2 linked regions of the Canis lupus familiaris genome follow. The protein of the gene in region 1 binds, or shares a complex with, the protein of each later gene. Links are inferred from orthologs where the notes say so. Each region holds a gene or a part of one and is shown in the gene's direction. Other genes may lie near its edges. The genes, in order: MYO3B and ESPN.

Region 1 (15,975 bases):
TTTATGAAGATCCATGCCTTTGGAGTCCTATTTTTTGAGTCAAACCATACCATTTTTGTTTAATATTATGCTTGTCTTACTGGGATAAGAATTACCATAACATATTTATATTTAATACTATGTGAAAACATTTTTGGCAGATTATCTGCATGATGGTCAACATTGGATATTTACTGCATATCCCTTGATGAAGAGGTTAGGGAGAAGGCTTTGAGATTAGGGCAAAATTTTTTCCATTTCTTCAAGTTAGATTATGAATTTGGGAGAATATTGCTGAAGAGAGACTGAAGGGTTATATGTTAAAATGTAAGTTAGGGATTTCCAATACCTTAATGACAGTAGGACTTACATTGACTTCTTTTTACACTATATTGATGCATGATTGATATACCTCCCCTCTCAGGTATTTTTCAACCAATCATTGGCTTTCAGGATACAAATATTGTGAGCCTCTGGAAAGGAACTGAAGAAAGGTGTTGGAATAGAGCCCATAAGGGAGAAGGCTCGTTATTGGGCCTTATGTGGTGCTTGGAGCACAACTGGTTAAAAACAAAAACCAAAACTTAGAGGCTTATAAAAAGTAAACAAGGTAAAGATATACTGAGAGGGCAAGTCAATTCCTAGGAAGGTGCCCGGAAAACCACTACCATGAGATGCTTATGAACCAGGCTAGGAGCAACTTCCTTAAATTAGCTCCAGGCTAACAGAAAACCAAGGACCTTTTCAATTTTCTGCTTATCCTCAACTTTATTGAGAGAATACCTGCATCAGTGAAAGGAGTGTTTTCTGAGAAAAAAAAAGAAGCAAAGACCATATACATCCTGTATGGGATGGAGAAAGCCTCTTTCTTCCCCACTTCTGCTGATGGTGAAAATGAATTGGGAAGCCAGCTGGAGGAGTCGTTAATTTTCTTGATAGTATTTCCTGTCCTGAATGAGCTTATTTTGTTTTTTCATAGAGAAAGTTGGAAACATAATAAATAAAAAGAAAGAGCATCATAGTAGGATTTGGTAGTAAAATCAGGGATGCCAGAAAAGACTGCATAGCTGGAAATCAGGCAAGAGGAAATGAGCAAAATGAGGAAGGTGAAAATCCTCAGACTAGCTATAGGGAGAAAAGAAGAGACTTGATCAAGAAGTTCTGGGGAGGGAGGTGTAACCCCACAGGTGAACACACTACTGATTGTCCTCTACCATGATTGTATGGGTGATGTGTTGACTTGAACAAAAAAGGTAGATGTAGGTTCCTAGCCCAGAAAGGAAAAGCTAATTAATACAAGGATAGGACTAAAAGAGGTGGAATGGCCTAGAAATGTCACATAAAGAGTACCCTACGTCTAATTCCTCCATAATGAGGTCAACATTGGACACCTTTCTCAAGTTCCCTTTCTGAACCAAGGAAGGGTATCCCAGCCTATCATGAACTTCAGTCATTTATGGTGTTTGAACCCCAAAGTTTTCCCTGAAGGTCATGGGTAGTTTTCTTTTTTAAAAGAGGAAATGTCTGAGCATTGTGCTGAAGAGAATATTGCCAGAGAAACAACCAGGGGAGAACTGCCATTTCCTTTGGGGATAATCTCCCTAGTGGTGAAATGCCTGGAAGCTCTATTTTGGGAAGTTTCATGGCTTATACTGATATAATAGGGTGTAAATGTGTGTTTTAATTAGAGGAAATACATTTCTTTTCTAAGAATATTGAGAGTTTAGGTAACTTTTTGAGAGAACTGGGGATAGAAAGAACAGATACAGAGCTCACTGCTGTAGTTTCTGTTTACCCTCTGGGAAGTTGCTTGTTTGTTGCATTTTTGAGCCTCACATTTTATTGATTAAGGTAATGAAGTGCTGTCATGTTAAATCCACACCAGCCCCAGAAAACCCATTTGGTAGATGTTCTCCTTAGCCAGTCTTAAGTTGTATGATTAAAACAGTAATTTTTGACATCAAAAACATGACCTCTTGCCTTTGATTTAGAAGTTTGAAGAACAGTATTTATAGTAGAAGCCTGGTTTAAAATCCTCATTTGTCTTTGTAGCATTATCAGGTATCCAGCAGATGTCACTATTACAGTCTGTTCAGTTGTCAGCTTTACTGAATAATGTTCACAGGAAGGCTCACTTTGGGAACAATGCTTCACCAATGGTCTAATGACAGTTCCTACTAGTTTGCTGCTATGGATAGTACTAAATCAAGTTTCTCACCTGAGTATTTTTTTGTGGAAGTAGCTTTCTCTATCTATAGGCATAAGATGCAGAAGTTTCCTGGCTATGTATTTGTCTCACCTATAGGAAATGCATAGGTTTAAATAAATATACTTTATTTTTTTTTTTTAGTGTTAATGCTACTTATCTATTTAACTTTCAATATAAAAAAGGACTTAGGTTATCTATTTTTACTCACAGTACTTCTGACATCAAATGCATGGAGTTTTTTTTCTCCTCACACCAACCAATTCTCCTATAATTCAGTTTACTTCTGATACTGTTTACCTAGAATTAACATCAGATCACACAGGTTAGGGGCTCAGTTCCACAAGACTGCCCCCACTTCAGACACAAATTGCAAATCCTAGGGTTCACCTACTAACCAAGCAGTTACAAAGTGGGAGATCTTGGGTCCCAAGACCCCAAATTTGATCATTGGATAAAAAGACTCAAAACTTGGGAAAACAGTTTACTTACTGGTTTATTATAAAGGATACAACCCAGGAACAACCAAATGGAAGAGATGCATAGGGCAAGGTAATGGGGAAGGGTGGGGGGGTACCACCTCTCACAACCCAGAGGTATTCTGAACTTCATCAATTAGAGGTTTTATTTATTTATTTTTAAATATTTATTTATTTATTCATGGGAGACAGAGAGGCAGAGAAATAGGCAAAGGGAGAAGCAGGCTCTTCATGGAAGCCTATTGAAGAACTCAATCCCAGATCCCAGGATCATGACCTGAGCCAAAGGCAACCGCCCAGCCGCTGTGCCACCTAGGCATCCCAATTAGAGATATTAATGGAGGCTCTGTTACATAAGCATAAATGATTAAATTATTGTCAGTTGGTGATTAACTCAATTTCCAGAAGGCTCCCCTCCCTGGAAGGATTCAGCTAAAAATTCCAACCCTTTAATCACATGTGTGGTCTCTCTAGCAACCGGCCATATTCTTTTTTTTTTTTTTTTTTAAAGATTTTATTTATTTATTCATGAGAGAGAGAGAAAGAGAGAGAGAGGCAGAGGGAGAAGCAGGCTCCCTACAAGAAACCCAATGTGGGACTCGATCCCAGATCCCGGGACCACTCCCTGGGCCAAAGGCAGACGCTCAACCGCTGAGCCACCCAGGCATCCCCCGGCCATATTCTTTAAGAGTTACCTCAGTGGCACAGACTCAGTTATGGTTGAAGGTATTAAGAATAACAGAGGATACTCCTTTAACACCTGTCACTTATAATTCCAGGGGTTGTTTAGCTCTTGTGCTGGAAATTGGTATGAAGACCAAATATGTGTTATTATATCACAATATCACAGATAATTTCTAGTGAGTCTGAATATTTCCTGACCTCATTCATAATTACATATTCCTTTATTGAACTTCAAAATGTTCAGTGAACCATCAGTGAATGCCTTGATAACTATTTCATAAAAGCTATATTCAAAAGTGGTTAAGGAAACCTCTGCTTTCTTATTTTGAAAAAAAGAACATACCTGAATTTAGAAGCTGGTTTTAGTTAGAATAAATGGATAAGTGGCTTAAAGAACAAAGATCAATTGTTCTTATGGAAGCATTTCAGAGTAAGAGGTTCATGTTGCAGTACAACTTTGTTCCATGTAGCATTGGTCTTAGGAATCCTAGTCCTGCATAGCTGAGACTGGGTTGTTGGGAGGTTCAGCTGGCAATAATGGGGGAAAAAGCATGGAGGAGGCATGCTTGCTTCTATAAGGCTGGACTCCGAAGTCACTCATATCATTCTACTTGCTTCTTTGTTGAGAATTTAGTTCCAGTGCCTAACTGCAGGGGAGGTTTGGAAATTTGTTTGTGTGCCCAGGATAGGAGGATGTTGGATTTTGGTGGATAACTACCAGTGCTATTGGTTTGTTGGTTTGATTGGCAATGACCAAAATGGTTCTTGCTGTCCTTTTCAGGAGGTGCACTCAGTGTATAGAATTTTGGCTGGAATTTTGAATATTGGAAACATTGAGTTTGCAGCTATTTCCTCTCAGCATCAAACTGACAAAAGTGAGGTCCCCAATGCTGAAGCTTTGGAAAATGGTAATTGTTTGATGTCTGTGCATTGTGTAATCAAAATGCATGTGTCTTTGACTTTGGTAGTTTCTAAAGATGCTGTAAAATATAGTGCAGCTGTGGCTGGTCCCTCTGCCGGCTCTGGGTGTTTTTACTAACTATGATTTCCCAAAGGATGTCTTGTAGAACATCAGTGTTCTTTTCATGAACTGCAAATAAGTGCTCTGCAGAAAAGAATTCCATGACAGATAGCTTTGGGCCATGGTGTCAACACTGGCTACTTTTGAAAATCATCTATAATTTTTCGAAAAAAAAAAAATACAAGAGGTGGATCCCTGTCTGAATCCACTAAATCAGCATCTGCAAGGGATAGTCAGGCACCTGTTTATTTCTAAAGTTTTATAGCTAATAATGGTGACACAGGAATGAGAATCCTGAGTTCAAAAAAAAAAAGTGATTTAAATAAACACCCGTTGTGTTAAAATGCAGCATCTTTTACTGTTTTTAATAAACTCGTGTGCTTCCTGGCTCTTGAATATAATCCCCAGCTATTTGACCAAAGACTATCTTCTCTCACTTTTTCTCATCAAATGCCTGTGAAGAGCTTTCAGAGTGTTTGGGGGATACTGTGTCTGTCTGGATACTTCTTGGGGTTAGGGACCTGGCTTGTTTACCTTTGCATCTGAAGTGCCTGAATAGAACTTGGCACATCGTAGATGTTGAGTCAATGCTGGCTGAATGAATGAAAGGATGAATGGGTGACTGTATTCTCTGTATCATCCTTACTCTTTATTGCAGCTGCCTCTGTTCTCTGCATCAGCCCCGAAGAACTCCAAGAGGCCCTTATCTCACACTGTGTGGTCACCCGCGGTGAAACCATCATCCGTGCCAATACTGTCGACAGGGCTGCGGATGTCCGAGATGCCATGTCCAAAGCCCTGTATGGGAGGCTCTTCAGTTGGATTGTAAATCGCATCAATACACTCCTGCAGCCAGACAAAAACATATGGCAAGTTCCCTTGGGAAGCAGAGGCCTTGGGAGAGCTGTCAGCGATCATGGTGTCTCTTAGAGTTTGCAAGAGGAAGTGTTTGGTCCTCTCCTGAGTTTCCTTTGGTGAAGCTCTGAGGTCTTTTCCTTTAAAAGGAGAATGGGATCTAGGAGAATGGAAGAATCACATGACTGAGCCATAATATGTAGTGTTTAAGAGAACAGGCTTGTCCAGGAGCTGGGCATACTGGGTTTGCATTTAAGCTCTACAGTTTGACCAGACCCATATTCCAAGTCATAGTTTTCTCATCTGTAAAATGAGAGTAATTAATATTCCTCCTCATAGTGTTTTTAGAATGAGACATCTCATGAAAAGTTTTAAAGCACCATATCTTATAGTATTATTGCTGCTGCTGCTACTGACTTTTCTTTCCTAAGCATTAGTGGTCTCTATATTGTGGGAAAATGAACAACAACAAATTCTAAATCGTATTCTTCCAATTAAGCCTAATGGGTGGGAAGGTAGAAGAATGAATGGGCAGCAGTTCTAGTCTTTTCGAACAGAGTACCTCCTCTCTAATATCTCTCTCTATGGAACTTCTGAGGGAGATTTTAAAGGGTTCTACTGCTTAAAAACAAAAAAAAAAAGTTGGAACTACTGTTGAAAGATTGAAGGAATGAATGACTTAAAACACAAACTATTTCTTCTCTTAGAGGCAGCTGAATGCTGCTTTCCATAAGTGGGTACATATATTGGTAAACATGTGGACACACATATTTTCATCATCCTGAGATAAATGTTTCTTCCACTAAAAGATTTTTTTCTTTACTCCCATGCAGTAGTGCAGATGATGGTATGAATGTGGGGATTTTGGATATTTTTGGATTTGAGAACTTTGGGAGAAATTCATTTGAACAGCTCTGCATAAACATCGCCAATGAGCAAATCCAGTACTATTTCAACCAGCATGTTTTCGCTCTTGAGCAGGTAATAGTGAACTCTGAAGTGATTAAATCTGATGGGGAAGGTGTCTGCAAGCTGCTCACAATTTGAAGCAGAAACCCTCTTAGGCTAACAGATTCTAAGGAAAATCCACCAAAGAAGCAGTCCTGTCAAAATAAATAGCCTAAAGTTAGCCTGAAAAAAGTCCTGATTTCTGTGGAAAGTTACATTTCCTCACTTGAGTGGAGCTGATGACAAGCTAGTTATTTAAATATTGCTTCCAAACTATTTCACGCACACTGTCCAAATTATTACATTCTCTTCTACTTTATTTAACAAAAAACATCCATGATTGTGTCCAAAATGACACAGGATGATCTTTAATCAGGGCACAGGTTCTCGTTCTTAACTCCCAAATAGGGCATCTCCACCCCCCCCCCCCCACCCTCATCTCCTGCACACCAGTTCCCACAGTAACTTGGAAGGGGGTATGTCTCCAGGGCAGGAGTAAACTATGTTCTTGGTTTTCTCCAAATGGAAGTCATTCTGCAATGAGTTTAATGGTAAGTAAAACAAGATGTGAAGCTGATGGGCCCAAAGGCTAGGGGACCTTCCCCTTCCACCCCAATTTCTGTCCCAAACCCAAGACTATCCTGTATGAAGTAGTGCAGCAATAAAACATTCTGACTGAGCCTTTGCTTTAGTGAAGACACACACGCTGTACTGTGATTACATAAACACAAAAACAGGAAGAAAATCTGTATTGTTTTTTTTCAGTGGAATTGGATAAATCTGTATCACCCTCCTCTCCCCTCCCACTCTGCACAAAATTTGACCTCCTTTCACTCAGGGCTCCTTGCATTTATTTCCCTGGGAAGTCTGGAGTTTTCTAGTTTTGCAGTCTGATTCCCTTGCAGAATCCTAGAATGTAGAAGTCTGCTTTTTTTTCCTGGTTTAAGCCATGTTTTATTTATCACTAAAATAACTTTTTCAGCTTCCTTTCTATTCGATGTCAGTTTCTAAATTATGACTTCCCAAGTTGGTTTTTGGAAGACAGCACTGGCCCTTCTTTTGCTGGCTTCAGCTGCCTGCCGCAGGTTGCCTATGGGTCAGACTTAAACCCAAAGTTTTAGCAGTGTTGTATCAGGAGAATCTTTGACTACACACATAAAACTGCCTGTATTCCACAGTCAGTGTTGTAAGGCTATAGAAGGCACGTGCCAAAGCAGCCTGGTGCTATGTAGACCAGTTTTGGGCTTAAAGAGATTCACAATCCATTTTCCTCCAGATGGAATATCAGAATGAGGGCATTGATGCTACACTTGTGATGTATGAGGACAATCGCCCACTCTTGGACATGTTCCTCCAGAAACCTCTGGGACTGCTTGCGCTTTTGGATGAGGAAAGTCGATTTCCCCAAGCAACTGATCAGACCCTGGTTGGTAAGTGTCTCTTGGGAAAGGCATAGTACACTCAGGAGAGAACTTGGTTCGTTGGTATTGTAAATCGGTATTTTGGCCACTTGGTAGTTTATGCAAGTGTAGACCCTGTTTTTAATGAATTGAAATTGTCAGCAAATGTCCTGATAGATCTTTGTCTTAAAGAAAACTCATCACCAAACCCTCCTCACTTTCCTATTGCTGCCTATTTCCTATCATTTTTATACCTTCAGCTCCCTTATTTCCTATAACCAATGCTTGCTTCCCCTCCTTTTTCATACCCTTCTCTCATATCTCTGCTTGGATCCCATCCATTTCTAGTCTAAATTTGTATAGAAGACCCTTCTGGTTTCCTGGCTTCTAGCTTCTTGCTTATCCCCTCTACCCTAGACGTCCCAGCTAATTTAGTCTTTCTAAAGCCACCTTTTCATTAGGTTACTATTGTCTATAAGATGCCGATAAGACACTTCCTCCTGACACTAATGGCCCCCCAATCCTCTATCCTTGTTCCTCTTGACCTTCTTCTCTAATCTTCAGTGTTGCATACAATCCCATCCCTTACTTAGATTGTGAGATATTTAGGGCAACAAAACCCCAATAATCTTTGTATCCCTTTAGTGCTTAGCACAGGGTGGAACAGAAAGTTTCAAGCCTTTTCCCCTGATAGGAACTTGATTGGTGGGAAAGATTCACTTCTAGGAGTTAAAATTGTCACCCTCAGTGGTTTCCTTTTACCTACAAAGTAATCAGAAGTTGCCGTGATAGGTTTATACCAGGGTTGTTTGCCTTCCATGGGATCTTCATGGTTCTTAAGCTAATTGGCTAGAGTTCTGGTGTCATCAGTGTCCATGCTGGGAGTTCTTAGAACAGAACAAGAGATCTTAGGGTATAGCCTGATACTAAAGACAACACAAAACAAGTAAATGAAGACTTGATTGTAAGCCCATTTCAATGGAGCATTTTTCTCCTCTGTTGTACGTATGATGATAGTATCAGGCTGCCCTGAAAACCCTTACTCTGGGTTACTCCTGGCTCAAGGAGCACCTCTTTGTTTGAAGAAGCAAACAGTTCTCATTGTAACTTTTACACATGAAAATCCACGCAGATAAATTTGAAGATAATCTACGATGCAAATACTTCTGGAGGCCCAAAGGGGTGGAGCTATGCTTTGGCATTCTGCACTATGCTGGAAAGGTAAGGCAAGTGTGATTTACTAGGCCTGAATTTGACAAGGGGTAAGTGTTCATACTACCCTGTCTGTGCTGCTCACAAAATTGCTTGAAGATTTCTTTCTCTTTTTAATTCTTCTGAACACCTAATCATAATTCCCAAACTTTCTCAGTGGTTCTGCTCACAGAAAGTCGCCCCTGGTAAAAAAGCAGTTTCTTGCTGGGGTGGCTATGGAGCTTCCATCTGCTTCTCACCTGAGGTTTGTCCTAGAAGTGACAGCTCTCCAGAGAGAAGATACAGTGTAGCGTTTGCAGTGGTTAGTGGACAATGTGTATATTCTGAAGTCCCTTGGAAATGTGCAGGTTAACAGAGGAGGGTTAATATCATAGTGGGGCTCAGTTTTTAGCACTTTAACTATATGTGGCTACAGGGCACCAAAACTGTCTAGATAAAAAGGGAAAAAATTCTCTTTGATGTTAAACTTGTATAACACTAACTGAAATTTCCATCTTTCTTAATTTATGCCTCAGTTTCATTTCAAGTTCCTGAAGCAGAGGAGTGACTAATTTAGGAAATTCTCTGGTTCTGCAGCCAATAGCTCTTTGCTCAGAGTTACTCTCAAAGGAGTCGTTGGAATCATAGCTCATTGGTTCTGGTGGGGTCTGCTGAGGACCTGGGTCCCACAAACAGGGTAGGAGTCCAACAAAAGGCATTTGGGATTTTGTTCATTTAAGATTTGTTGAAGTTGTTTTTTTATATTCATATCATGGTGTTGAAATTAATTTTACCTGACTGGAGGTTGGTTGAAAGGCAGTTCTAATATAAGCAAAGAAGATTGTGTTTCTCCCCACATAGCGTATAGTATCTGTTTTGAATCTTTGTTGAAATTGCAACTCAATTTTTAACTATTTCAGACCACCTCAGCACTGATGTCTGACCATATGTTAATGTCCCCCATGTCTGGGATACCCGCATCTATCCTGATCTCCACCTCCCATTCCTGTCCTCTTCCTTGCACCTCCCTGTCTCTCTGTCTTTTTATACCGATTTCCTGTTCACCCATATTCCCTTTCTCCCTTTTCTCCTTCCTTGATTTTAAGGGGAAAAACAAGATCGTTTTCTTTGTGGGCTCAGTGCCCTTTCCTGAATTCATTATTTCTCTGGAATGTTCCTTAAAATTCCTCTGACCTGGATCCCTTCTGTTGTGAGAACTGAAAATGACTCTGCATCCCTAAGTGATCACTCACATGTTGTGAATGCCTTCGGGAGCAGCAAGAGTACAGTTGATGATGAGCACGGAGCCCAGACTGCCTGGGTTTGGAAACCTGCCTGCTACTTGTGAAATATGTGACCATGAGCATATCATTTCAGCTTCTTGTTAAGCCTCTGTTTGCCCACCAGTAAAATGGAGATAGTAATAGTATTTACCTCATAAGGTGGGTGCTTTCCGCATAGTGGCCAATATATAGTGCTCAGTCTATTTTCATAGTTATTCTCACGTGATGTATCTTTGATATGCCTCTATTCCTCAAAAAGCACCTGACCAAGAAGTTAAGATAAATTGGCCTGTCAAAAATTACAGTTTTTTCCTCCTTATCTCATGGTCTGGATTTAAAAGCGTGGCTGTGTCAAGATAATTTCTCTACATTGGTCGATTAATGACTAACCTCAGACAGCTTTTCCAGTGTCACCAGCAATGGATGATACTGGCTAGTTTGCTATTTGCTATTCATGTTGCAGGTATTATACGATGCTTCTGGGGTTCTTGAGAAAAACAAAGACACTCTCCCTGCTGATGTGGTTGTAGTCCTGAGAACGTCAGAAAACAAGCTTCTGCAGCAACTCTTCTCAATTCCCTTGACCAAAACAGGTACTTGGAACCCCCTGACCTCCCTGGATCTGATGCTTCTACAAGCACTGCTGGAGTTTTCTTGTTAGTATCTGAGTACTTTCAGGGCTACACTACTACCATTTTTAACTTTAAGCAGGGGTGAAGGTCTATTCAACTAAATTCAAGAAAAGGAAAGTGATATTTTCTTTTGCAATTTAATTGTACAACATTAGTGTATATATAACACAGAGATACTTTTATAGCATTAACTCAGACTTCTCATTTTCTCTGCTTGCCTCTTTTCATTCTTCCAGTTATAAAACCGTATATTATCATTAATTCATGCTAAGCCCTCTACAGTGGTCTCAGTTTACCTAGAATTTTTGGGAAGATTATTTCTGTTCACATTCGATTCTAAGTGAAAGGAATGTGGTAAATCCAATGGTCGTCCAGTCATGGGGTCCTCAGAAATCACCTGGTCCAATTCACTACCCAGTCAGTGACCCCACCCCACCCCCCACTCTCTTGACCAACTTAGAATAGGTCCATCATCACTGGCCTACCTGCTTGGCCTTTGCCCACTCACAGTCATCTTCTGCTTAATGGCTTTTGTTAAGCTGCTCAGTCAGTTCTCAGGATTAGAAGCAGGAAATCAGGGCCAAAGAACCGAACTTCCCTGTCTTTGCTGTTTTGCCAAATAGATTCCCATTCTTTTTTTTTTTTAATTTTTTAAAAAATTTATTTATGATAGTCACACAGAGAGAGAGAGAGGCAGAGACACAGGCAGAGGGAGAAGCAGGCTCCATGCACCAGGAGCCCGATGTGGGATTTGATCCCGGGTCTCCAGGATCGCGCCCTAGGCCAAAGGCAGGCACCAAACTGCTACGCCACCCAGGGATCCCCTAGATTCCCATTCTGTCAAGTTCCTTTGATTTACCTGAGATCTGCTGCCTTTGGTTGGGCAGCTCACTAGGTCTTCTCAGAGCTTTCCTCTCAAGGGCATTCTGTTTTGAGGGTTTGTCTGGAAACAGCTGCGGGTACACTTTTGTGAAAGAAGGAGGAGAAGTCTCTTTATTATTGTTCATAATTTCCTTTTCTTTCGTCCCATATCCCTCTTGAAATCATTGGAAACCATGTCCAGTTTGGGGCCTTTGTATCCTAAAAGGGAGTGGCTGCCAGGTCTGATTTTTAGCAACATGCAAAGGAATGAAAAGGTTGGCTAAGAAAGAAGCCACAGTCTGCAACCTTTGCTTCATCTTAATTTGGAAAGAAAGATGAAACCAGTTCTTAACTTTCTTCAAACATGCTCCTTTAAACAAAAATAGTAGGGTGCCCATGAGAAAGCTTCCTCTACCTTTCTTTCCAGACCTCCCTTGGGCAGAGCCAGGATTTGATTCATTATCTCCTTATGAAGATATTTACCCTCAAACTGGTTCTAATGAGATTGTGCATCTTACGATGAAGGTCAGAATATTAAGCTTCTAAATTTAAAAATATCTGTATTCTATATTTTTTGGTTTTAATGTAGGAGAATTTTATTGGACAGAAGTAGTTTGTTTTGTTTTTGCAGAAATTACAAATATTTGTTTCAGAGTGGCCAGATGTGAGGAGTTCCTCACCAGACACAGGTCTTATCAGGCATCTTATGTACAGGGCAAAGATACAGCCATTATTAATACCCCTAAAATGTACTCTTTGAAGTAGAATATATCCAGATGACCTGTCAGCTGGCACTTAAACTGTCTCATAAATATGAGTAACAATTTGTCAAAAATGTTCAAAACCTTGGAATCTCCAGTTTTTCAGCTGTTGGCAAAATAAAAACAATTTCTCAGCTTGGGCCACTAGGTGGCGCGAGGCAAGAAATCAAGCTCTGCAGCAAGCCTTGTGTTTGCCCTTGCCCGCCTAAAAGGGGAAGGAACAGAAACAAAGAGCTAACCTCTGCCTTTTTTTTTTTTTTTTTTTTTTGCTTTGCTTTTTACTTTTCGCTTTTCCCTGAAGGAGTGTTCCTGCTTTCTGAATCGTGTAACCTTTTCTGAATCTTGTCTTCAAACGGAATTCCACACCTCCTGGCGGAAACAAAGTGACAAAGAAGATTGGAAACAAACATGTTTTCCTTCCTTGTATTCCTGAGTCACATTTTGTGTATAATAATTTTTTTTGAAATTCATTTGAAATAATTTATTTTGAAATCCTAAGCTTTATTTTCTGCACATTTTGAGTATAGCTAAGAAGCCAAAGAAACACATCAAAACTAATAAGCATGATTCTGTTTTCTTTTTCTGAAAGTGTTCATATAAAAATGCCTTCAATCAACATGTATAGAACAGCTTCTAATAATAAGACACCAAGACAACAAGGAGGAGATAAAGATAAAATGGCTTTGCCCTAAAGCACCTGGAACTTGCCTTTAGCTTTACTAGAATCTATGTCCTTATGTTGATACTTGCCCTCAAAACATCAGTTCTAAAGAGATTGTGCATCCAATGTTAAAGGTCAGAATATTAATTAAGATGCTAAATTTTAAAGCATCTATATTCTGTATTTTTTGGTTTTGGTATATTACAGCCTTCGAAGTTGGGAGAACCTTACTGGACAGAAATAGTTGATGCTGTTTTTACTGAAATTGCAAATACATGTTTCAGCACGTGTCCCTTATGAAAGCAGACATGTGGGGTGGCACCTGGGTGGCTCAGTGGTTGAGAGTCTGCTTTCGGCTCAGGTCGTGATCCCCGGGTCCTGGGATCAAGGTCCTGGGATCGAGTTCCGCATCAGGCTCCCCATGGGGAGCATGCTTCTCTCTCTGCCTGTGTCTGCTTCTCTCTGTATGTCTCTTAAATAAATAAAATCTTTAAAAAAAATGAAAGCAGACATGTGTATATCTCAGCATTCTGACTGGAAGTGAGGTCCCACACATCCTGGCATTTTGAAAACAAATGTGCCAATATTTTCAATGCATGAGAAACCATTTTCTTGTGTTTTTTAAATTTTTTATCCTGCTTCAGACCCTTAAACACTTGTCTTATTAAAATTAAATGGATCACGAGTTCAATGAACATAGATATAGGTATTTTACAAACTTCTTCAGGAGATGAATTACAAAGAGGAGGGGAAAAAAATCAAAGTTTGGAAACTTTGGAGGCTGATAGCCCCAGACTTTAAAAAGAGGTCCAGGGATCCCTGGGTGGCGCAGCAGTTTGGCGCCTGCCTTTGGCCCAGGGCATGATCCTGGAGACCCGGGATCGAATCCCACATCGGGCTCCTGGTGCATGGGGCCTGCTTCTCCCTCTGCCTATGTCTCTGCCTCTCTCTCTCTCTCTCTCTCTCTCTCTCCCCGTGTGTGACTATCATAAATAAATTTAAAAAATTTAAAAAAAATAAAATAAAATAAAAAGAGGTCCATTGTTGGACTCCTCAGTTTTGAGATAACATAACTCTCTAGGATGTTGGCAGTGCTCTGACTTCTGGTCCCCATGGTAGTTACATGTATGTTGGTTTATATCTGTTATGTTGAACATTTGTTTCCCACACTTTTCTGTACATGCATTCTGTTTCACCGATAGCACTGTTATTTTCAAAAAGAGAGGATGTCTTAAAATGCAAAGAGAAACTTTCTTTTTCCTAGATTTCCTGTTCCATAAAGTTGAGGTTTCCTGGTAAACTACTGCAGCCCTTTGCTTTCCCAGACAGGTATCAGAGAACTGCCATTCCTGTCTGGTTAAGTTAGCCTCCTCTCTGGGCTGCTGGGCAGGTAGCAGTCTCTCTATTAGTGTTTATAAAACAGAAGTATTGGTTCTTGGTCTAATCTATTTTTTAATTTTTTAAAAAAAATATTTATTTATTCATGACAGACACAGAGAGAGAGAGGCAGAGACACAGACAGAAGGAGAAGCAGGCTCCATGCAGGGAGCCTGATGTGGGACTCCATCCCTGGACTTCAGGATCACACCCTAAGCTGAAGGCAGGTGCTAAACCACTGGGCCACCCAGAGATCCCCCTTGGTCTAATCTCTTAAAGAGGTTGAAAGGATTAACCTCTGTGTCTTTGTGTGAAACCATAATATAAAATCAGTGCAAGGAATCAGGTTGACATTCTCCTAGTTCCGGTACCCACTTTCCTGTTCATGTTGTACATCCCAAACTACTGAAAAGGTTAAAAAAAAAAAAAAAACGGGACGTGAAGTCAGGAGGTGTAGAGTCATCAGGAGACTGGGCTCCTCCCAAATCCCTGTAGCTCCCTTAGCAGCAGCCTCTTCTTCTGGCACACAGCGGCATGTGGCAAGAGAGGTGCCTATGCCTGACAGACTGACACACTCTGGTTCCAAGGCACTCACTGGCCATCAGGCACACGGAGGCAGCTGCAGACAATAGGGATTCTCAGACTTACAGGACCACTCTCTTGCCTCTAGATGGGTCACTTCAGACATGCTGAAATTTTCTTTGTAATCCTTCCTATTGATAGGAAGTTCTCTGAAGATTTCATGTGTGAAAATTTGATGTGGCAGCAACATTGCTTTCTAACCCTTCAGCTGGGACTTTTCAAACTGAATGATCTAGGTAGAAAAACATTAAAAGGAAAGATGTTATAACAAGGTTTCATCGCATATTTTCTTGTTTGGAGAACGTTCTGCTTGCTACTAATAAACTAGAGAAAAGTTCAAAAGGCTCAAGGAAAGAAAGAGAAGAAATTTCAAAAGGAACTTGAAAAGTCCATTTCTGTCTTTGAATCATGAATTCTGACTTCCAAGGAGGGGTTTGGAGTTTTAAAGGAGTTAGGAACTTGGGAAAAAGAAAAAAAACCAAGAGCAGTGCCAGAGTGAATATTTTCTGAGCTTCCAAGACTGGTTTTGTCTCAGAATCTAGAACTGAGTTTGGTTCTATTTTCTCCTATCCAAGCTCTCCCAGGTAGTTTCCTTGGAATTTGATTTGAAGTGAAAATCAGCAGCAAATTCTCTTTGACTTCCACTGGTTCCCCTTTTTATATGGATGAGGGGGGCAGGATGAGCCCTCACATTATATCTGTAAAGGACTAACACCATCACTGCTGAAATACTTGATATTGCTTGTTCCTGGTTCTGTAACTCCCCAAATTGAGCATTCATCTCTTAAGAGGATGTCATTTGGTAACTGTCTCTGAGTTTTCATTTTCCACTTATGGCTTCTCCTCCATACTGGCAGTTCAGAAATGGGTCTAGCAGGATGAGCTGACTCTAAATGAAAGGTTCCAGGGTCACAGACACGGATACTGCTTGCCTCCTCCTGAAACAGCAGCTTTAATGAGCCAACCCGGTCAGGAAGCCCTGAGGGGTGAGTTCCTCCTCACACGGAGACCTGCTTCTATTTAATTTGACAGTGTTTTTCAGTCAGTAGATAATT
Region 2 (15,975 bases), on another chromosome or scaffold:
CGGCTGGGGGAGGGGCGGGGCTGGAGCGGGCGGGCCGGGCGGGGCCGGGCGCCCTCTGCTGGCGCCGAACTGTCGGCACAGCCCTGCGGCGGGGCGGGGGTCCGGGCGAGCGGCGGGGTCCTCAGTACGTGGCCCCCCGCAGTGCTGCCAGATCCTGGTAGTGAACGGCGCGGAGCTGGACGTCCGCGACCGCGACGGATACACTGCCGCCGACCTCTCGGACTACAACGGCCACAGCCACTGCACCCGCTACCTGCGCACCGTGGAGAACCTGGTACGACCCCCGGCGCTGCTCCCCGGTTATGTCGTCCCCCACCCCATTCCCACCTCTCCCCAGCGGTAGGTGTTCTTACCCCTTTACCACGGAAGAAGCTGAGTTTCGAGACCTGGAGCCCCTTGTCCGAGGTCACACAATGAGAAAATACCGCAGACCATCACGCTCTCTCAGCCCAGAACCACTGACCACTGAGGGTGAGAGGGTGAAGGAGAAAGGGCCAAGGGCAAGAGGACCAGCGTCGTCCTGGTAAGGAAGAAGGCCTGGAGAAATCACAGGACACTTACATACCGATGGGAATAGTCAAGTTCATTCGCCGGCCCACAGCCCACACTAGTAGCTCATGTAACTAACTCTCCACCGCCTCAGAGGAGGTGGTGTTAGTGTCCTAACTCACCCAAGGTCACACAGCTGTTAAATGGTGGAGCTGAGTGGCATGGCCTAGAGCCACTGCTTGATCACTACACTGTGTGTTTGCTCACTTCATGGTTACTTCATAACTGGAAACTTGTATCATCTTTTTTAAATGATTTTATTATGGTTGCACAGCTGTGAAGTCACCTCCTGAGACTTGAGCTCAGGTGCGGTTGGCTCCAAGTCCAGGGCGCTGACTCATCTGATATAATGCTTGCTTTGGGGCACGGGGGAGGATGGAGGGTGGGTCTCCCAGGTGTCTTCAGGAGGACCAGTGCCAGGGGGCAGCCTGGCCAGAAGAGGGGCTAGGAAATGATACCTGGAGGGGAGAAGGTGGGATGTCCTCATCCTGCCATTGCACTGTCTGCAAGCACAGGGCGGGGCACCCTGGTTCTGGGTGCTCCAGAGCACAGCAAGGCCCAGGGGTTCTGAAACTGCAGCTGGACCTGAGGAAGAATTCCCCCCACCCCCGAGAGGCCACCCAGAGAGAGCAAGGGTCCAACAGATAGTGAGCACCCTGTTGGCAGGGTGTACAAATGGGTGGATGCTGTGAAGGCATTTCTGCACAAGAGGTGGTTCTTTCCCACTGAGAGTTTCAAGGATGGGGTGGGGGTGGCACAAAGCCCCAGCCCCTCCAGCCCCTCTTAACAGCAACTACAATTGCAACAGACACCACTCCGTGAATTCTGACTCCAGCAGGTACTCTGCCCGGTGCTTTATAGTAGAACCTCAGTCGCCATCAGAAATTAATACTAACAGTTGACATATATGGCGTTTACCGACCACCCTACTCCCTGGGATTTCACTAACTTTTAAAATCTTTCTTATATCCTCATGAGGCAAGAAATACTGTTATCCTCATTTACAGGTAAAGAAACTAAGGGGCACCTGGGTGGCTCAGTCTGTTAAGCATCTGACTCTTGATTTCAGCTCAGGTCATGATCTTCGGGTCGTGAGATGGAGCTCCACTCTGCACTGGGCATGGAGCCTGCTTAAGATTCTCCCTCTCCCTCTGGCCTTTTATACCCTGCCCCCCCCCCCCACTCCCCACTGCAGGCTCTCTCTCTTTAAGTACAGAAAGGATAAGTGATTTGCCCAAGGTCGCTTAGCTAGTAAGTGGGAGAGGTGACATTTGAAGCCAGCATTCCAGGCTGGAGAGGCTGTGCCCCTAACCTCTGTTATCCATGGGGTTGGGGCTGGGCACCCCCAGTGCCCATGCTGTCAGCCACAAAAAGAGCATTTTCCCACCTCCACCCAGGCCAGCCCCTATGCTTTCCCTTGGCTCACGGAATGGTCAGCTGGCCCTGGCCCCCCTGAACTAGGTGGGGTAGGGGGGGCCTTGGTCCCCTCACCCAGACAGGCCCAGCTGCAGCAGTGACAGACCTAAACCATGCAGGTTGCTGCCCCAGAAAAGGCAAACACTCCCACAGAGCCCCTAATTACAGGGCCAATGAGCATGACTGCTGAGCTGTTACCTGGTGCTAGGCTTGCCTCCCACTCCCGAGGGGCCTGTGACACTTCTCAGGCAAGGAGAGGGCCGCGGGCAGGGAGAAGCAGGCTTGGGCAGGAGGCAGCCACCAGAGCCAGCGAGCAGGCTTGCCAGCAGCAAGGCCAGCATGGGCAACGTAAGCAGGACCCCTACCCCAGCCCACCCCCATGCCAGGAGGGTCAGGCCTGTGGGCAGGGGCACAGACAGTGGTGGGGGGACAGCAGGCTTACGGCCTGACCTAGGACTGCCCACCAGACTCAGCTGGGCCACCCTAAGCCCCTCCCTTTCTCCAAGGGCCCCATCAGGAGAGTGGGGCTGGGCTGGGGTTGGAATCTGCCCCAGTAGGGCATGGAGGCACAAGGGCTACTGGCCAGGTAGTGGAGAATTAGTCTTTCATGTAAGCTATGGGGTCCCTGCATCCTCCCCTACCCCCAGTGGCTGTGGCACCTGAGCCCCTCACCACAGATACAGTGGAGCTCAGTCTCTCTGATGAGGAAGGAGAAGGCTGGTGCCATGGCAGTCTTCCCCTTGGGGTCCAGATGGCCCCCCCCTTCTGACAGTCTCTCCACCCCACCTGAGCAAGGTGTGGCCAGGGTAGGAGTTTCCCAGGAACCTGTGGTCCTGCTGCCAGGGGGCTGGGCTTGAATCTTGGCCTGGGAAGAACCTGAGAGACATTCTCAGAATGGGGAGAAAGCCCAGAAAAAGAAGCGGCTCAGCCTAGGTCACACAGCAAAGACATGCCTGAGCAGGACCCTGGCCTGGAGAGCACCGGTCTTCAGGTCAGGCTGTCCTCGTCGCCTCCCCTCCTGCTCAGAGTGTGGAGCACCGTGTTCTGTCCCGGGATCCATCTGCGGAGCTGGAGACCAAGCAGCCTGACTCTGGCATGTCTTCACCCAATACCACCATGTCGGTCCAGCCACTGAACTTTGACCTCAGCTCACCCACCAGCACCCTCTCCAACTATGACTCCTGCTCCTCCAGCCACTCCAGCATCAAGGGTCAGCGCCCCCCACGCGGTGAGTGGGCCAGGTTGGGAAGAGGGAAGGGGGAGCATAGACTGGGACTGGCCATGGGTCCCTGAGGGCCAGCATCAGGCACACTCTTCCCACGGCTGGCGCTGGAGGCTGCCCAGGTCACCAGGAGGGGCTGCTGGTTCTGGTGAGAGGCAGATGACACTTGTGCTGTGTGTGCTCATCACAACACAAGCCTATGTGCATATAGAGACAAAATCCACATGCACCCTGAAAATGAGTAATCATCCTCACACACACAGTGTAACCCAGACTTTTACACACACCTATTCACACTCAAAAGTGCACACTTGTACATGTGTAGGCACAGTGTACAGATAGGAATTCACAACCACACATACAGCATGGTTGCAGATGCACGCACACACATGCACTACAGCAAAGCCTTCCATTTTCATACTCCAGATGTTTGTGCACATGTAAACACACGCAGAAATGCACCCCGTGTCCACAGACCAATGCAAACACATTTGTAAATACAAAGAACCCATGCATGTGCTCACAAACATGTGAATGTACAAACACTTGGCAGAAGCCAGGCATGTGTGTATACACACGCTGACCACACCCTGAGCTTGAGTGTCCATCTACCTGTGATACCTGCTTCAAGCCGCCAGGCAGGGGCCTGCAGAGATGGTGGGGTGCCCTGCGGTTTTGGGGGGTGGCCGTCCATGCTCCTGCCACGCCACCCTGCTAGGTGTGACCAGAGGAGCTCTCTCCATACCCTGGAGTGGAAAGCCCCCTGGGGGGGTCCCCCTCCAAACTTGAGTGCATGTCCTTTCCCCAATGCACCCAGAGCTAGGGGAGGGCAGGGCAGGGGAGGGTGGGGTGAAGTGGGGTGAGGTGGGCCCTGCACTGCTGAAGCCCACAGTGGAGCCATACCTGGCCGCATCCCAAACCCACCTTACCCTTTGGCTGGTTGCTTCCGGGTAGAAAGGGGTCTCAGTCCCGGGGGACAGCCTCTCTGCAAACTCCCAAATCCCTCCCTCCCCAGGGCTTTCCAGCTCAAGAGCTGCAGATATACAAAGCTACATGGACATGCTGAGCCCGGAACTGGGCCGTCCCCGGGGCAAGACGGAGAGAACCACACCACTGCCACCACCACCCAGTTTCCCTCCACCGCCCCCACCCCTGAGCACCCAACTGCCCCCTCCCCCACCAGGCTACCCAGCTCCCCAGCCCCCCATGGGGCCACATGCAGCTGATATCTACATACAGACCAAGAACAAACTCCGCCACGTGGAGACGGAGGCCCTCAAGAAGGAGGTAGCGAACATTAACCCCCTGCCCGCCTCCCAGCACCAAGACTGGGTTGATAGGCAGCCCTTGAGGCCAAGAATCTGCCTGGTTCATGGGCACAGGGTGGGGGTCTCTGGGCCAGTGTGGCTTATTCAAGAGTCAAAGCTCCTGGCCAGCCCCATGGGGACCCAGGGCTCGACACGGGGGACAGGGAGATGAGGAAGACAAAGCCACTACCCTCTCGGGAGCTAGGGTGAGTGAAGGAACATATTACCAGGCAGTTTTGCCTCTCAGGGAGCTGAGTCCTCCCTCACCTCTTGCACAGAGTGGCAGGGTGGTCTTGGAATTGGCAAAGCATATGTGCAAACTGCCTTTCCACAGACCTGCACATGCCCATAGCCCCAGGCTCAGGTGGAGAATGGCTCCCAAGGGGGTGTCTTCCAGGTAGGAGATGCAGGTGGCACAGCTGTGAAGGGCCAGGAGGAGGGTAGAGGCAGGGAGAGAGAGCACTAACAGGACTCAGCACTCAGGGCGGGGCTGAGGGAGGGGTGAGGCTGAAGCTGGCTCCCGAATTTGGGGCTTTGAGTGGCCAGGTTGGTGGAAGGGGTGGTCCTGAGATAGGAGCCATGGGGGAGAAGCCAGCTTATGGGAAGGTGTCTGTGTCCAGTGTGGGCACAGAGGATGCAATGCCAGGATGTCAGGGCCTCTGGGCTCCTGGCTGAAGCTCTGGAGCCAGAGAGCTGTTCTGAGTAGCCGAGAGTCCTAGGCAGGGAGCCTAGGTCTTGGCCAGCAGGGCAGAATAAGGCTGGGCTGGGCTGGGAGGGACAACCCGAGACCACAGGTGGCTGAGTATGGGGTAGAGGCCACCGAGGGTCCTGTGGGAGCCCTAACCTTTGGTTATCTCTCCAGCCCAAAGCAAGCCACTCCAGAGTGGAGCTGAGTAACCAGTTTGCCCACAGGTGACCCAGGTCTCCAGGTCACCAGGTTGGGGAGGGGAATGACAACCACCACAGGGGCTCCACCTTGTCCTTGTGCCATCTTGGAGCAAGCTGTCAGTCGGGTTCCCCTTTCATCTCTCTGAGGTGGAGAGGACCAGAGGGGGCCACAGGTCACCAACTTTCCCTCAGGGCGGCTGTGTGAGCCCTGCCCAAAGCCACAGGACAGGTGGCCCAGACAGTTGCCTCCACTCCCCTGAGCACCAGGATGTCGAGGTCCCGTGCCCCTACCCCGTGCGTGCGTGCAGGGCCGCAGGCATTGGGCAGCTTCACAAAGGGCCCTTTGTGTGTGCCCACTGTGCCCGCGGCCCCTGCCTCTGCCCCCCTCCTCGTCCCCCCCCCCCCCCCCCCCCCCCCGCAGTTGCCTGACCGCCTCGGGAGCAGGGTCGTGGCATCCGCGCCTCGGGGCTGCAGGGGGCGCCGAGGGGGCGGACTGTCCCAGAAAACAAATCCTGTGGTGTCGGGTTTCCTGCAACGAGAGCCCATTCGGGTGGGGCCTGGAGGTTCGGGGCCACTGCAGGGACGCAGGGGCGGGGGGTGGAACAGGGGGCAGCCCCCCGCACGGTGGCTCGGCCTTTGGCCCTGCAAGCCCCATGTCCTGTTCCCTGGGCTGGGCTTAGCGGGGGCGGGGGGGGGGGGCAGCTGCGACGGGGCGGGCCACCGCGCTGTCATCCGAGCCCGCCTGGCCGCCCCTGAAACCTGAGGCTTAGGCGCGGGTGTCGGTGTCACTTACGCGGATGTCGATGGTTTCCAGATGCGGGAGGGGAAGGGAGGGGAAGGGCGGGGGCATGACCCGGAACCCGGGGGTACCAAATACGGGGGGCTCCACTGCTTGTGGTCGGGCCCGCTTTCTGTCCACCCGGTGTGGAGGGGCCAGTTTGAGGGAGGCAGAGGGGGCTGAAGGCCAGGATGCCCAGCGCCTAGCGGAGGGAGAGGGGCACTGGGGGCGTATCCACATCTGGTTCGCTGGACAGGTAAGGCGCAGCGGCAGGCTGTGGCATGATGCACTTGGAGCCCCCGTGGCGTCCCCTATGGGTGCGAGTGGGTCAACCCGGGATTGGCGGGCCTCGGGTGATGTCAGGCCGGCAGAGCTCATAGGCGCTCTTAGGCGCGGGCGGGCAAGGGCTGGGCTGTAACCTGAGAGGAAGGATCGAGTAGCGCAGGTGTTGGGTCCAGGCCGCCCCCGCCACCAGGTGCACAGCGGGGGCCACCGGCACTGGCGCAGGTAGGAGCAGCCCCGGGGACGGGTGGCGAGAGCCCTGGGCCAGCGGAAGCCTAACGGGACGAGGGCTCTGCGTGGGGCCGCCTGGGAGCCGGGGTCCCCGAAGGAGAGGGTTCGGCAGAGCCTGCGGGAGGAGCGGGACAGTCCGGTGGCCGGGAGCTGGGTGAGGCTGAGGCCTTAGCGCTGCCCAAACTGCGAGCTGCCCCTTCACCAGCTCCCCCTGGCGACTGGGCTGGACCAACCCGCCCCTGGTCCCGCCCCTTCTAGCCTCAGTGGGGGCCCCTGTGGCTCTTGGCCCGCGCCCAGAACCCCTCCCTGAAAGGCCGACCGAGCCCGCCCTTCCCCGGGACCCTCGCCCCATCCCCGCTCTGAGAACAAGAGGGTCCGGGAGCCCGGTTGGCTGCGCCCTTCGACGGCCGCTGGCCGCGAGCCCCAGGAATTGCGAGCCGGGGGGGCGGGGCGTGGGAGGCATCGGTAACCAGTGGCTGAAGCCCCCGCACCGCTGTCTTCCCGCAGCTGAGCTCCCGCGACGGCCACAACGGGCTGAGGAGGCAGGACTCGGGCCGCAAGCCCCGCGCCTTCAGCAAGCAGCCCAGCACGGGGGACTACTACCGGCAGCTGGGCCGCTGTCCCGGGGAGCCGCTGCCCGCGGGCCCCGGCATGGCGCACAGCGAGGAGGTGCGTGCCTGCCCGCCCGCGCCCGCCGGCCGCCGGGGACCCAGCCCGGCCTCCGGCTTCTCACTCGCCAGCTCCTCCGCTCCCCCGCAGGCGGCGCTGCTCCCCGGGAACCCCGTGCATAACGGCTGCGCCGCGGACCCCAAGGCGTCCAGGGAGCTGCCCCCGCCGCCCCCGCCGCCCCCGCCGCCCCTGCCGGAGGCCCTCTGCTCGCCACCGCCTGCTCCGCCCCTGCCCTTCGAGGGCGCCGGCCCTGGCTGCGGGCAGCGTCGCTCCTCCTCGTCCACTGGCAGTGAGTAGGGGCGGAGGGTGGGGGGCGGCGCTAGCCCTGGAGGGGTGGGAAACCTCGCCATCGCTCCCCTCCCAGCTGCGACTGCCCTAGTGCCTTCTCTTTTCCTACTTGCTCTTCCTGCTGCAGCCCCCAGCCCAGTGAGGGCTCGACCCGAAGGGAAGGTTCTGAGTCGCTTGAGTGTGACCTCTCAGTCCGGTCCCCTTCCGTCCCTAGGCCCATGTCCCATCCAGCAGAGAAGGCCTCCCAGCTCTGCTGGCTGGTGTTTCTAATGAGCTGGTGCTAATGGGGAGCTCTCAGAGGGAGAACTAGTTTCAAGGAGGCAGCTGCTGGCCAACCTTCTTCCTGCCCCATATCTGTCCTAAGTCTCTCTTCTGCTCCTCACCTCTTTCTCTTGTTCTTTCAAGCTAGCTACAGCCCGAGCTCTTAGATGCCTGAGGGACTCTTCCCAGCCAGATCCCCGTGCCCCCCCCCGGGGGGGTCCCAGGCCAGGCCAGCTAGAACCTGGCTATGGGGACTAGGCCAGTGACCCACCATGCCCTGCCCTTTCCCTCCTGATGACCCCTTCCCCGTCCCTGCCCTGCCCCACATCCTTTGTAAGGTCTAAAGTGGTGAGCAGGATTCCTGAGCTTCTCTTCTGTAACATGGGTCAGTATGTAGTATGCCAGGGCTCCTGCAAGGCCCAGGAGGTGGTGCCTAGGTGCTGATGCTCCCACCCAAGCCTGGGAGAGGGGGGCTGATACTCAGTGCTACATCTCCCTAAGCTTCATCTCCCTAACTAGGAGTGCAAGGCTATAATAGTCCGGGGTAGGACCAGCCTGGGCTCCTTCAGTTACCTAAGGAGCCTCAGCCTCTGCATACCAGAGCCCATGGTAGCACACTCATCACCAATTGAGCTTCCAGAACGGCCCCCACCTCTGGGGCTAGCTTTGTCCATCTGGTGCAAGACTGAAGTTAGGAACAGAAAAAAATAGACTGGGCTTCTCCAGACACCCCTTCTCAGCAGAGCCTGGGCTGGGTGCCCTCTCCCAGCCCAATGCCAAGACTGAGGCCCTTGCTAGGGGGGCCAGGGCCAGTGGCAGCCCTACCCAATCCTCAGGGACCAGTAAGCGCTGGAACTGGGCGGACCACCCTTGCAGAGCCCCAGAGCAGCCTGAGCCAGGGTCACATGAGCTGGAAAATTTGTCCTCTCCTCTCTCCCCTCCTCTGCGCATCTCCCCCTCCTCTTGCCCGCCCTCTTCTTGCTGTCCCCCGCTGTCCTAGCCTCACCCAAGCCCCCTACCTCTCCTAACTTCGCTGTCACTTCTCTCCTCTCGGTCCCTAGAAGTGAGAGTCCTGAGGCACAGGAAGAGTGAGTAGCTGCGTGCGTGGCTCCTGGCTGAGGTGCGGGGCGGGGACCAAGGCACGCTCGGGGAAGTCAAAGCCCAAAGACCCTTTATAAAGGGCAGGGCCAAGGGCCAGAAGGCCAGGGTCCTCCACACTACAGCTACCTGCCTCCCTCCACCACACCCGCATGCACACCCACAAATTCTGCCCATGGCTGTCGGTTTTGCCTAAAAAAATGGACCTGTTGCCAGTGCCTGCCTGGCACCTTTTCTTTTTACCCTTCCTGCTTATTGCTCTAGGATCCCCAGTGCCGGGGAACCTAAAAGCCATCGGCCTGTTTTGTTGCCCTCACCCAGCCCTCACCCCCTCCTCAGTCTCTAAAGACAGCCCTTCCCAGACCCCAGTCACCTCTGCCAGCCTTGTCAGAAAATGCAAACTCCAAGCACTGGATATTTGCATGTTTTTCACCTGGCCCTTCTTCCTGGGTGCCTTCACCCCATATCCTTAGTAAGGGCTCCGCTTTTCTAGGTCCCCCAGAGCTGAGCAGCGCTTTGCCATAAGTGTGCTACGGGCTTGCAACCAGTGTGTCTGCGCGTGTGTCTGTCTGTGTGTATGGGGGGCGGGGAGGAGACCGGCTGGGCTCTGGCATCCAGGGTTCTGAGTCCATATAGCCATGGAGGCCCCAGGTGACTCAGTCCAAGGGTCACTGAGCTTTGCTGATGCAGAGAGGGCTGGAGGGAGACTCCACCCCGGCAGGGCCGAGCCAGGGAACCCAGGACAAAGGTCAGGTGGCTGGCCCCCAGGTAGTGTCTTAGAGCTGGTCAGTCAGTGTACTGGGTGGAGACATTCTCTGGAGTACCCAGCGCAGGGCCAGGAGCCAGCATGTACTCCCAGAGGCCTCCAGGAGGGGCCCCCATGTCCCGTGAGTAGGGCTGGGAAGATGGTGGGGCCCCGTGAGCGGGGATGCCCCCTTGGCGCCCCTGAGAGCCGCCCAGGGAGCCTGGGATCTGGAGAGCTGCCATCTAGGGCCTGGGCACCTCCTGACTTGGGGAGGGGACAGCAGAGGGGCAGGTGCGGGTCGGCGGGCCACCAGCGGCCAGCACCTCCTCTCCTGCCTCTGTGCAGGCACCAAGTCTTTCAACATGATGTCCCCGACGGGTGACAACTCCGAGCTACTGGCTGAGATCAAGGCTGGCAAGAGTCTGAAGCCGACACCGCAGAGCAAAGGGCTGACGACAGTGTTCTCGGGCAGCGGGCAGCCCATCTCCCAGGTAGGCAGTGGGCCGGGCACTCCTGCCCCAGCTCCTCTCACCCCTGCTCACCAGGCACTCAGTGTCACCACTTCTCCCTGCAGCCAGACTTGCCGCTGCCCCAGGCATCGCCTGCGCCTTCACGGGCCCGCAGCCCCACCCCACCGGCTGCAGGGCCCCAGCCACTGCTCAATGGCAGCGTGGCGCCGGCACCGCCTGCCACCCCGGCGCCTGGTGTTCAGCTGGATGTGGAGGCGCTCATCCCCACACACGACGAGCAGGGCCGGCCCATCCCTGAGTGGAAGCGCCAGGTGATGGTGCGGAAACTGCAGCTGAAGATGCAGGAGGAGGAAGAACAGAGGCGGAAGGTGGGTGGGGTGGGGCTTCCCAGACGGCCCACAGGTCTGCGGTGGGGCCCTTGGCCCATCCCCCACCTTACCCCAGCCTGCTGGTCCCTTCCACTGCAGCCAGCTCCCGTAACCTTGGGGTGGGGGCAGATAGCAGGACTGGACGATCTGCCTGTCCACTGGGAATGTTCCCAGTCTCCACCCCAACCCCCACCTCCAGTAGCATGTCCTTTAGTAAGATGGCAAAGTTCATCCAACTCTAAGGCAGCTCAGGTTGCTTGAGATCTTGTAAAAATGCCTATTCTGATTCAGGAGCCCTGGGTGGGACCGAGATCCCATGCTTCTAGGAAGCTCCTGACTGTGCTGGTCCAGGGACCACACGCAGTAGGTGACAGGCTTTTGGTTGCGAACAGACTAGCCTGGGCCCTGCCCCTGCATGGCCACTTTCCAGCCACTGATACCGAGACTCAGCCAGCCTCAGTTTTCTTATCTGTCAGATGATTGCTCATTACTGGCTGGCAGGGCGTTTGCCATTGATCCACTCAACACATGTTTCTTGGGTGCTATGTATGTGACATACACTGTTGTAGCCTCTGGGGATTCATAATGAATGTGTCAGGGCCTTTTCAAGGTGGCCGCGTGGGGAGGGGGCGGCTTGGGGTCCGCCAACAAGCAAACACAGCACCTCAGTAGGGTGATAACTGCCCCCAAAGATACAGAACAAGATAATGTGAGAGCCTGAGTTTTGGAGGCCAGTACCTGGGCTGTCACAGGACAGGTGGCACTGTGATAGGGCATGCAGAGGTCTGGGGCAGCCTTAAACCCACCATCCTCTTTGGGCTGAGGGCAGTGTTAGGGAAGGAGGAAGTGATGTCCAAGGTAGACTTGGGAGATGAGCAAGAGGTGGCCTGGGAACCGAGTAGGGCAAAGAGCAAGGAGGCTCCTTGACCGTAGGAGAGGGGTGGAACTGGAGAGAGGTCAGTGGCATCAGATCATAAGGTCTGGCTTTGAAGAAAACAAATTTCTCCTGCAGCAGTTGGGAGCCTGGGAGAGGGTGTAAGTGGAGGAAGTGGCCTTATCCTATTTGCCTATGAGAAAGCATTGTAGATGCACTGACAGGCCGGTGAGGATGAGGACAGCCCCCCAACTCCCAGCTGGAGAAGCCCCACACTCAAGTGAGGAATGAATGAAACTCGGAAATTCCTGGCACAGCTAGCTCCATAAATTGATTATTATTCCTGGTACGGGACTGCCTGACAGCTCTTTTGGCGTTAGAGCACTGCTAGCGTGCGCAGGGGGAGTTGGGGCTGCAGGCGGCGCTTGAGAAGGGGTCATCCATGGCGGGGGCGGCGGGGGGGGGGGCGGTGGTGGCTTGCAGGTGATGCGGACCTGAGATAGGGTGGGGAAGGGGCAGCCTTGCATCGCAGCCTCAACGCCTTTTGCATGTTCCTTCGGTGGTGTAATGAGCAACCTGGCCAGGTGTGGAGACTCCGTCTGCCCGCCCTGTCTCTGCAACGGCGCCCAACGACCCCGCCAGCAACCAGAGGACACTGGCCAGCGCCCGGAGTAGCGGCCTGGGCTGAAGCCTCGCCCCAGTGTAACCACCTGCCGGCCAAGCTCGGCCCATCCCCGCCAACACAGTCCCGCGGAGCCATTACACCACCCGGGACATGCAAATGGCGCCCCCGGCGGCCGCTGCGGGAACCGGGCCAGAGGGAGACGCGCCTCCCTCCCCTCTCTTGTCTTCCCCGCCTTAGCTGACGGCCGCCAGCTCGTGCTGCTACCCCCGCGAGGGCTGGAGGTACTCCAGCGCGCACAACGCCATCCTCGGGCCCTTCGGCGAGCTCATGACCGAAGCCGACATCCTCCGCATCGAGCAGCAAATCGAGAACCTGCAGGTGTTGCACAAGGCGCAGAAGCTGGAGGCGCGCCTGGAGCAGCTGGAGCTGGAGTTGGAGCAGCTGCTGCCGATCTCGGCCGCCCTTTCGGCGCCGCGCTTCACCGTCGATCCGCGCCGCATGCACGGCCGCGCCGTCAGCCTGCCTGCCTGGTGCAGCAAGATCTCCACGCTGCTCAAGAGCATGGCCACGCTGCTGGCCGCACTGGGCGGCCGGCCCGCGCACCTGGCCGAGCTGCTGGCCGCCGACACGGGCCAGCCGCTGGCACCGCTGCCCGACGCGCCCTGGCGGCCGGGCCCGCTCTGCCTGGGCCGCTCGCACTCGCTCAGCTGGTGCCGCGAGGCCGTGGCGCGCGAGATCCTCGAGTGCGGCGTCTCGGTGCAGCACCTCCGCGCCGTCTACGAGCTGCGCGCCCAGGGCTCCGCGCCCGCGCGCGGCTCGCGCCACAAGCTCTCGCTTCCTGCCGGCGCCTCCGGCCGAGAACCCATCCTAGAGGAGGACTACGTGGCGGCCGGCGCGGGGGAAGCGAGCGCCCCCGCCGCCAACGGCTTGCCGGCCGCGGGGGACTCCCTTAGCGCCCCGGGCCCGCCCGACGCGCCCGGCCACCAGGCGGCGCCGCCTGAGCCGGAGCAGCTGGCGCGCCGGCCGCCGCTCTCCACCGAGCTGCGCGGCGTCCAGGACTACATAGATATGCGCAAGGAGCGCATCGTCTACCTCTTCCTGGAGCACTGGCGCAAGTGGACCTTCCGCGGCCCCGGGCGCCATGCCCAGGCGCGCCTACGCAGACTGCTGCCCCGCGTGGTGGCCGCCGGCGCGGGCTCCGTCCCCGAGGCCGCTGAGGCACCCGGGCCGCCGGCAGGCGACGGCGCCGACGGGCGGCTGCTGCGCCTGCTGAAGCAGCGGCAGGTGGTGGGCAAGCTGCTGGGCCACTGGCGGAGCCTGCTGCGGCAGGTGCCCGCGCGCCCCCCGTGCGGCTCGGGTCTGGCGCACGGCCTGTACTGGCCTGAGCACTTCCTGCCGCCCCTCGACGGCGGCGCGCCCCCACGCTACGACAGCCTCACGCTCGACCTCTTCATGCTTGGCTACTTCCAGCTGCTCGAGATGGGCCTGAGCCGAGAGGAGCGCAAGTTCCGCCACCTGCTGTGCTACGAGATGTTCGACCGGCTGGGCAGCCACCCGTGGGAGCTCATCCGCCGCTTCCACCGCGTCGTGCTCGAGGAGGTGGAGGCTGGCCGGCGCAGCTGGAGCGACGGCTTTGAGGACCTCAGGCGCCAGTTCTTTGGAGACAGCCCGGAGGCTGAGCCGGCGCGGGAAGAAGAGGCCGAGGAGGAGCGAGAGAAGGGGGAGGAGAAGGGGGAGGAGAACGAAGAGGAGGAGGAGAAGGAGCCCGCGGAAAAGGTCGCTTCGGCCCACACGGTGGACTGGCCCGAGGGGCAGCCCGAGGCCCCAGCTCCTGCGCCGCAGTCTCCGACCCCACCTCCGCCAGCCGCGCCTCCCCCCACGTGGGACCCGCCTAGTCCTGAAGCCCCTGTCGAAGATCCCCTGGAGCTGGTGTCTGAGATGGGCGAGTTCAGCAATGAGGACATCTGCCGCTATATTGACCGCAGCTTCTCCTTCTGGAAGGAGAAGGAGGCAGAGCTCTTTGACATCTGAGAATTCGGAATTTCCACTCAAGCATCTTAATCCCGGGCCAGATGCCTGTCTGATGCCCTCCGGAGGCCAGAAGCCGGCAGGAAGAACCCAGAAGCCGGCGGGGTGGCCTTGGAAAACCCAGAGTGCCCAGGAGGACCAGGCTGCCACAGCCTTTGAAACCCCACCATGGCCAAATGTGGGGCAGTGGCCAGAATGGGCAGGGCAGGGCACAGGGCAAGCCAGCTGTCCCCCCCCCCCCCCCCCCCCCCCCCCCCCCCCCCCCCCCGGTCCTACAGTCCTGCCTAGCTCTGTGTTGGAGCCAGGTTGAAGAAGCAGGCCCCCTGAGTGAGGGACCATGGGTCCCCCTTGGGGCAGTGTGGCTCTCCTCTCTTGGTTTTTCACTGGAATTCACAGCTACTTCTTTGAGGTCAAGGGAGCCACGTGTGTAGTGTTCTGTGTGACGTGTTCTCCTCTGTAAACATCCAAGTAATAAAACTCTTTGCTGTAAGCCGCCTGTGTTGGATGCCCGCTCCCCTGCTCCTGCCAAGTCAATGCAGCCACACAGTGGTAGAGGTAGTGTCTACTCCACTTGGGAACAGGACACACATGGCCCAGAAGATTCTTCCCAGTGGAGGCCACTTTGAGCCTGTGGGGGCCCAAGGATGTTTCTGCCCAGAGTCTGGGTTGGGGGCCTGGGGCCATCTGTCATCCTGCCCCAGTGGAGAAGCTCATTCTCTGGTCCTTTCCTACACCTTAGGTCTGACCTCTCTGGCGCCCCCTCTAGGACACAGGAGGCTGGAGTTACAAGGGGGCAGAGCCCTTTAAGGAGACCATGGCCAGGCAACTTTATCGATTTGCCCTGTGAAAGAACATCTGTATCCCATTGTCCCTGACTCTTGCAGGTCTCCCGGGGTTGGGGGTGCCCCTTCTGGCCCCCTACCTCCTAGCCCATGCTGGTCCTAAAGCTCAACAATTGTGTTTCAGGAGGAAGAGGAGGAAGCCCGGCTGGCCAGCATGCCTGCATGGAGGCGAGACCTCCTGCGGAAGAAGCTAGAAGAGGAGAGGTGAGTTGGGTAATCAGAAGCTTCAGGGCCTGGTAGGATGTCTTGATCTTGTGTCTGCTGTGGTGGCACCAAATAATGCTGTCTCTTTTTCCTTCTAGGGAGCAGAGGCGGTGAGTTGGGACTGGGCCAGACCTGTCACCCCTCCCCAAACCTCCTTAGTCTTTTGCCTCTTCATCCAGCCCCATCTTGAGCACATCTCCTTGTCACTCTAGTCTGTAACACAACCTCTCTGCTTCCAATGATGCCACCAGACCTCTCTCCCCCAATAAGCCCCTGTCCCAAAGTCTATATCTTATGCCCTAACAACCTTTGGTTAACCCAACCTCAGTGTCAATAACCTTGCGCTGTCCCTCAAAACATAGTTCCTGCCCCCAGGAATCTAGCCCAGTGCAGACAGAAATATAATGCGAGCCACTATGTAATTTTAAATTCTCTTGTAGCCACTTTGAAAAAGTAAAAAGATATAGGTGAACATGTGTATCTTATTTAACTCAATATATCGAAGTATCACTTCAATAGATAATGTAAAATTTATGAAATATATAGATATATATATATATGTACACACACACACATATAAACATAGTCTTTGAAATGCCAGGTGCTATTTACACCTACAATGCTTCTCATTCTGACATTTCAGATGCTTAGTGGCCACATGTATTTAGTGGCTGCCTTGTCAGCAGCACAGATCTAGCCCCTACTTCTTTAAGACTTTATTTGTTCATGAGAGACACAGAGAGAGGCCGAGACATAGGCAGAGGGAGAAGCAGGCTCCCTTTGGGGAGCCCCATGTGGGACTGGATCCCAGGACCCCTGGGATCACACCC

What was found.
Region 2: the proteins of MYO3B (region 1) and ESPN are in contact, whole or in part, in a crystal structure (PDB 5ET1), measured with the Mus musculus proteins. The link is inferred for Canis lupus familiaris from reciprocal best matches to the Homo sapiens genes MYO3B and ESPN. Residues at the interface, in XP_017174528.1 of Mus musculus: Arg1223, Arg1224, Gln1226, Gln1227, Pro1228, Lys1229, Met1230, Leu1231, Ser1232, Ser1233, Asp1236, Thr1237, Met1238, Tyr1239, Tyr1240, Asn1241, Gln1242, Leu1243; in NP_997570.1 of Mus musculus: Leu35, Ala37, His41, Arg45, Ala67, Asn69, Ala71, His75, Asp76, Ala79, Thr80, Asp101, Ser103, Leu110, Arg113, Phe114, Thr135, Thr137, Ala139, His143, Tyr144, Ala147, Thr169, Asn171, Tyr177, Leu178, Gln181, Ala203, Asp205, Met207.

What each region holds. Positions count from the first base shown.
Region 1 is NC_049257.1:15,295,888-15,311,862, forward strand, and holds part of MYO3B (myosin-IIIb), read left to right. Parts: intron 1-4,129; coding exon 4,130-4,256; intron 4,257-5,027; coding exon 5,028-5,238; intron 5,239-6,057; coding exon 6,058-6,205; intron 6,206-7,448; coding exon 7,449-7,602; intron 7,603-8,704; coding exon 8,705-8,793; intron 8,794-10,509; coding exon 10,510-10,639; intron 10,640-15,975.
Region 2 is NC_049226.1:60,782,294-60,798,268, forward strand, and holds part of ESPN (espin), read left to right. Parts: intron 1-142; coding exon 143-274; intron 275-2,991; coding exon 2,992-3,193; intron 3,194-4,202; coding exon 4,203-4,474; intron 4,475-7,180; coding exon 7,181-7,631; intron 7,632-8,952; coding exon of another isoform or gene 8,953-8,979; intron 8,980-10,079; coding exon 10,080-10,225; intron 10,226-10,308; coding exon 10,309-10,572; intron 10,573-15,065; coding exon 15,066-15,145; intron 15,146-15,243; coding exon 15,244-15,255; intron 15,256-15,975. UniProt on the Homo sapiens protein: Multifunctional actin-bundling protein. Plays a major role in regulating the organization, dimension, dynamics and signaling capacities of the actin filament-rich microvilli in the mechanosensory and chemosensory cells.